Macaca fascicularis: one gene and its partner. The protein of the gene in region 1 purifies or fractionates together with the protein of each later gene. This does not show direct contact. Links are inferred from orthologs where the notes say so. Each region holds a gene or a part of one and is shown on either strand. Other genes may lie near its edges.

Region 1 (3,823 bases):
TCAAATTCTAATTCAAAATTATGGATTTTAGTTTCCTCTACCTCGTAAGCTAGCCATTCTTACTTTACCTTGCTCCTTTGTGGTATGCTGGTTTTTATATTCCCCGCTTTGTTCTTGCAAATTTACTAGCTTTCAAACTAAGCATTATTTCCTGTCCTCATTCCTCTTCCATGTTAAACTCTCCTTTTTACTCTGTGTTCTAAGATGTACTTTCTATGTGAAATTTGATGTTGTTAAACTCAATTTGATTTATTGCCTATTCTAGAGTGCAGTTGGGGTATGCTTACTGAAAAAATATTTTTGTGAAATGAAATGTCACATATTAAGTAAAATGATCATATTTATGTGCTATCCTTTCCAATATGGCTTAAATATATATTCAAGGAATGTTTATGGTATGACAGTACATTTAAGAGCTGGGCATTTAGTGACTTAACATCTGTTTTCTCATGTTCTATGATAAAATTTGGGTAGAGTTTTACTTGTTTTAAAAGGAAAATTAAGCAGAGTCAAATGATATGACCAAATGAAATTAGGGCAGAAAATATGTCAAGAAGCTGAGAGGTAAGTTCTTCTATACTGGTATTCTCTGGAAAGTTTCATCTAAAGTGCAGTTGTTTGTCAGTTGGACTTTATTTATTTAGTGCCAATTACATTATAATTAATGTAAATTGAACTCTCATTTAGTAGATCAGTTTCTAATGCGATCTATTTGGATCATATATTTAATTTCCCCCTTTTTTCAGATTATGAACTATTATGGAAAAGGAAAAGTGAGAATTACATTAGTAACAAAGAATGACCCATATAAACCTCATCCTCATGATTTAGTTGGAAAAGACTGCAGAGACGGCTACTATGAAGCGGAATTTGGACAAGAACGCAGACCTTTGTTGTAAGTACACAGCTACAGACATCTTCAGAAATAAGATGAGACATAGGACGTTCTGTTTCTTCTCCGTGACAGTCTGTTACTTTTTAGCAGAATAATTTTCTCATTCTACTTCTATTTACTATATTTTACACTTATATTTTTACTATTTGCATTAGAACTACCCTTTCATTCTTCATTAGTAGACACATCTTATGATGGTTAGCAGGAAGACATTTTTATTGTTATTAAAAGTAAACGTAAACTTATTGTATACCGTGATTTCCTTTCTTGGGGTGGACAGTTTTTGAAATAATTTTTCACTCTTTTTTTTTTTTTCAAGACGGAGTTTTGCTCTTGTTGCCTAGGCTAGAGTGCAGTGGCACAATCTTGGCTCACTGCAACCTCCACCTCCTGGGTTCAAGCGATTCTCCTGCCTCAGCCTCCCGAGTAGCTGGGATTACAGGCATGCGCCACCACGCCTGGTTAATTTTTTTTGTATTTTTATTAGAGATGGGGTTTCTGCATGTTGGTCAGGCTGGTCTCGAACTCCCAACCTCAGATGATCTGCCTGCCTCTGCCTCCCAAAGTGTTGGGATTACAGGCGTGGGCCACCGCGCCCGGCCTCTGTCTTTTCATTTATAGTTAACTTATTATTTTGAGACAGGGTCTCCCTCTGTTACCCAGGCTGGAGTGCAGTGGCATGATCTCGGCCCGTTGCATCCTTCACCTCCAGACTCAAGCCATCTTCAGCCTCAGCCTCCTGAGTAGCTGGGACTATAGGCATGCACCACCATGCCCGGCTAATTTTTGTATTTTTTGTAGAGATTGGGTTTTGCTGTGTTGCCCAGGGTGGTCTTGAACTCCTAGACTCAAGCAGTCTTCCCGCTTTGGCCTCCCAAAGTGCTTGGGATTACAGATGTGAGCCATTGTGCCACGCCCATTTACAGTTAACATAAAAATGCCTGGATGTGAGAAAAATCAACTGGAAAACTCTAGAGTTATTATTTAGAAAATGGCAGGTTATAGAATTAACATATAACAATAGTTCTAAGAGAAAAATAATCATGTAATATTTCATGATAGTGAGGCTACCAGAAGATGGGCCCATTCATCATGTTAGAATGTAAATTAATAAAGTCGTCTGGTAGGCAATTTAACTGCATAACAAAAGCCCGAAAAATATGAATGCCTCTTGAGCCAGCCATTCCACTTCTAGGAGTTTAGCCTCAGAAAATAATTACATGTACTCAGACATTATGCTCTAATGCTGTTCATTGCAGTTCTCTTTTTAATGGCAAAAAGCTAGAAGCAATTCAAATAGTAAGCAAAGGGGATTAATTAAATAAACTGATACATTCATGCAATGTACTCCTGTACAGCCTTAAAAATCATATTGTCAGTATGTCTATTGGTATGTAAAGATAGTCACAATATATTAGATAAATAGGTTTTCTGTTTTTTGGTTTTTTTGTTTTTGTGTTTGAGACAGAGTCTTTGTTGCCCAGGCTGCAGTGCAGTGGTGTGATTTTGGCTCACTGCAGCCTCCACCTCCCTGGTTCAAGCGATTCTCCTGCCTGAGCCTCCCATGTTAGCTGGTATTACAGGCATGTGCCACCACGCCCAGCTAATTTTTTGGTATTTTTATTAGAGACAGGGTTTCACCATGTTGACTGGGCTGGTCTCGAATTCCTGACCTCAGGTGATCCACCTGCCTCAGCCTCCCAAAGTACTGGGATTACAAGCATGAGCCACGTCACCTGGCCAGATAAATAGGTTTTAAAACGATATGTAAAGAATAATCCTATTTTCGTTTAAGATAAATTTATACATATATATGAAGTATATATGTTAATACTAAGGTATTAGTAGTTGTCTGGGTGGGTAAGATTGTAGGGTTTTATGTTTTTCTTTTAACTTATATTTTATAATTCATTTTTGTAATGAACATGTATTGGCTTTTGGGGAAAAATGAACTAATTACAACAGAAAAGAGGTTAATAGTCTCTACATATATTAGTAATAACCATTTAGAAAAAAATGCTTTAAATGCTCCTCTTACAATAACACAAAATATCTAGTATTATACACACTTGGCAAATATTTGTCTATATTACTTGACCTCCCAACAACATTTTACACTGTGATCACTCTTTACCTGAAATATTTTTATTCCTTATCTTCTGTGAAAACGAACTTCTGTTTTACTTCCTGCTTTTCTGGCTGTTCTTTCTTAGTTACAGGCAGTTAAATTTTTGGATCACCTTACTTACTGTCCTAATAATGCTCTTTATGGCTGTTCCATCTCTCTCCCCAATTCAGGATCCCATTAAGGATTACACACTATAGGTAGCATTATATTTAACATGAATAACATGAATAATATTTTCATGTTAACATTAAACATTTTGGGCAAGAAATCTATAGAAGTGATGCAGTATAATTCTCAAAATATTCCTTCAGTTTTTTACATTATTAGCAATATTATCTTGGCATTCTATTATAAAGAAGAACTTTCCCTTCCTCTCTTTCTCCATTTAAAAAGTATCACTGTAAACTCATGCATTCTTGTATTTAATGTATTATAGTTATTGTTATTCTTATGATTTTCAAATTGACCCAGATTTGATTAATGCAAGCCTCTTCAAACTGTCTCCTGTGTTTTTTTGATATGTCTTCATCTTTCTTTGAGCACTTTTTTACTTTCTGACAAAACAAAATGTTCAAGACTTGTGCTTTTCTTTTTTGAGACAGAGCCTCGCTCTGTTGCCCAGGCTGGAGTGCAGTGGTGCGATCTCGCCTCACTGCAACCTCCCCCTTCCGAGTTCATGTGATTTTTGTGCCTTGGCCTCCCAAGTAGCTGGGATTACCAGCGTGCACCACCATACCCAGGTAATTTTTGTATTTTTAGTAGATACAGGGTTTCATCACGTTGGCCAGGCTTATCTCAAA
Region 2 (3,218 bases), on another chromosome or scaffold:
CCTGGGAATGGCCCTGGGCCCCACTCAAAGAGCTTCCTCTCCTGGCATAGCCTGAACAGTAGTGATACCTCTTGAGAAACGATGCACCCCGGGCTGGAGCTGGGAGGCCAAGCTGAGCTGCCCCGTGTTTCAGGGTGTGAACAGGGATCCTGGGGCTGTGAGGCCACCCCACTGCCCTGCTCCAAGCAGCCACTGGGCCTCAGTGGCTTCTGATTCTCTGCTTGAAGGGCACAGGAGAGTCATGGTGGACACCTTTTCTAACACACCCTTGGACTAAGTCTGCAGCAGAGGGCTAGACACAGGCAGCTGTTTGTACTTGTGCATGAGGGAGGAGGAACCTGGCGGGGCACTGTGTCTTCCTCCGTTAAGTTCACAGGCTGACAAGGAGGCACTGGAGGCTTCACCAGCCACAGCAGGCCCTGCCTCAAGCCCCTGCCCAGCCCCCGCAGCCTTCTTGGCATCACAGAATGGAATGTGTATGGGTGGCTCCCCATCCCCCAATTTCAGATTCTCCTAAGTCCCTGGCACAGGGATTCTTCAGCATGTCCCCTAGGCAGGAATGGGAACATCTTGCAACAGACCTACATGTGGGTTTTCCTGGGATTTGGTTTTAACTGTGGGTTTTCCTGGGATTTGGTTTTGCCTGTGGGTTTTCCTGGGATTTGGTTTTGCCTGTGGGTTTTCTGGCCTTCACGAATTCAAGGAAGCATGTGATTTGGATTGAAGGATCACTGTTGGTACAATCATGAGGATGGTCTCAGGCCACCTCTCAAAGATTTCGGACCCGAGGAACTGGTTCCAGACTTGCAGGCCCAGATTCTTACCCCTGAGGGTCAAGTTTCTGGTGGGGCCTGCAGACTTTGTACTAAGTGGCCTCTGTGTCCCTTTCAACAGTAGCCTGTGGCCCCTCGAGGGTTGCTCAGTCCCTAGGTGGCACAGCCAGGGACAGTGGTGCTGAAGCTTGGGTGATAAGCTGTAGTCCCACTGGGAAAGTCCACATTCAGACAGGAAGTGGAAGCACCAAGGCCTACTGGAATGAAGTTCGCAGACAAGCAGTGAGGGCCGCAGGCTGCGGTGCTTCAGGACGGATGTTTGGAGAACGCATGCCAGGCTGTGCCAAGTGGTTGGTGGGGCCAAGCCAGGGATACCTCTTGCTGCTACTGAAGGACCTCCTGAGCCCCAGAGTGCTGAGCACCCCCAAGCCCCACAGAGGAGGTACAGAGTAGGGTTTGGACTCAGTTTTCCCAGCTCCCCACCAGAGGCTCTGCCACCTCCACTCTGTAGTGGTGTGTGGGCTACATCATCAGGGCCAACTTATCAGTCGGGTCTCCTAGGGCCGATGGGTCCAACTGAACAGGACTTCCACCAAGGGGTTACGGAGTGGACCATACTAGGGCCTGTTTCTTCATGAGCGCATGAGGGAGCGTGGGTGCGATCTCCTCAGTCATTCACTGAGCACCCCCTTGTCTGGGCTCTGGGGCACAGCAGGAAGCAAAGTGAGGGACTGAAGTTCCGCTCAGGGAGAGATGAAGTACCTCTAGTTGCTGGAACCTGAGACCAGACTTTGTGACCTTCAGCACAGCCCATGTAAATAGACCTTTGCCTTTTCTCCAGGATTCTCAGGAGCCAGACGCCTGCCGGATCCATGCTGGAAGCAAAGCTGCCAAGTACTTGGCCACCGATGCATTGGAGCTTATGGTGCCTGGTGGCTGGAGGCCTGGGACTGGGGCCCAGCAGTTGGAACCCCCTGCAGAGGGCGGGCATCCTGGCATGGCCCAGAGAGGCCAGGGGGACCTTCAGTGCCCTCACTGCCTGGAGTGCTTCAGTGACGAGCAAGGTGAAGAGCTCCTCAGGCATGTGGCTGAGTGCTGCCAGTGACTGAGACTCACCCGTGCCCTTACGGCCCCCTGGCCCGGTGCAGCTGCCCTCAGGGACAGGGTGGGTACTCTCAGATGCCATGGGTTGAGCTCTCCTGAGATCCAAGGCCCCTAAATAGGTGCGGGGCACTGTGATCATTCCCTTTGGTCCCCCTTTGGCTATGGAACAGGCTGGGTCACAGGGAACTGCCAGTGAGGCTGGAGGCTGGAGGCGGAGATGGGGTTAGGAACATCTGGCAGAGGGAGGTCCTGGTCTGTGTCTCCATCAGGCTGAAGCCAGAGCAATCTAGTGCTAGCGTACCAGCCCCTCCCCTAGCCTGCACCTGGGCATGCCGCAGCTTGCCAGAAAGGGGTGGCTGCCTATGGGGGTCACTTGTATGGTCCTTAGGGTGGAAGCCCCATCCTGTTCTGTAGCATAAGGTGTCTCCTCTCTGCCTTGAACCAGGAGGTTTGTCCAATGGAGCATTGCGGCTGTGCATCACACTAGGGGGGCCGCCCCCGCCATTGCAGAGCCGCATGTCTGCCCTGAGAAACTGCATCGCAGTAGCACTGTCATCTGTCCGGAAGTTAAAGCACACTTACTCTATCCACCTATTTTTATAATAAACGTTCTTGCTACTGTGACTGCTCTGAGAATGTGTGTTGGAAGCTGGGGTGCAGGGACTGAGCAGTATTGACAGCAGCTGGCACGGGAAAACGCTCCTGCTGTTGCCTTCTCCCAAGGCACCAAGACAAGGGGGTGAGTGGGAGCCTGGCTGTGTTAGGGTTCTTTAGAGGGACAGAACTAATGGAATAGATAGATCCATAAAGGGGAGTGTGTTAAGTATCGACTCACACGATCACAAGTTCCCACAATAGGCCATCTGCGGGCTGAGGAACAAGGAGAGCCAGTCCAAGTTTTGAAACTGAAGAACGTGGAGTCCCATGTTCAAGGGCAAGATGTAGGCTGGGAGGCCAGGCCGGTCTCTCCTTTCACGTTTTTCTGCCTGCTTATATTCTAGCAGCACTGGCAGCTGATTAGATGGTGCCCACCCACACTGAAGGTGGGTCTGCCTTTCCCAGCCCAGTGACTCAAATGTTAATCTCCTTGGCAACACCCCCACAGACACGCCCAGGATCAATACTTCGTATCCTTCAATCCAAAAGTTGACACTCAATATTAACCATCACGAGTCCACCCCTTGTCAGCTTGAACCCATACATATTCCTGAGATAATAATCTTCAAATAAAGACAAAAATAAAGTCACATCTAACATAATACAACGATCCTTCATATAACCGGAAATGCACCAATCCCCAACCCAAATACTATTACGTAAAGGTACCAATACTTTTTTTTT

The links.
Region 2: the proteins of REL (region 1) and TNIP2 purify together in Homo sapiens (affinity purification with mass spectrometry; 3 studies listed by BioGRID and IntAct, counting the BioPlex papers as one, with this or other methods). This does not show direct contact. The link is inferred for Macaca fascicularis from reciprocal best matches to the Homo sapiens genes REL and TNIP2.

The regions. Positions count from the first base shown.
Region 1 is NC_088387.1:61,075,290-61,079,112, reverse strand, and holds part of REL (proto-oncogene c-Rel), read left to right. Parts: intron 1-746; coding exon 747-895; intron 896-3,823. UniProt on the Homo sapiens protein: Proto-oncogene that may play a role in differentiation and lymphopoiesis.
Region 2 is NC_088379.1:2,914,160-2,917,377, reverse strand, and holds the end of TNIP2 (TNFAIP3-interacting protein 2), read left to right. Parts: intron 1-1,614; coding exon 1,615-1,837; coding exon of another isoform or gene 1,838-1,878; exon of another isoform or gene 1,879-2,020; intron 2,021-2,322; coding exon 2,323-2,480; 3' UTR 2,481-2,501; downstream 2,502-3,218. UniProt on the Homo sapiens protein: Inhibits NF-kappa-B activation by blocking the interaction of RIPK1 with its downstream effector NEMO/IKBKG.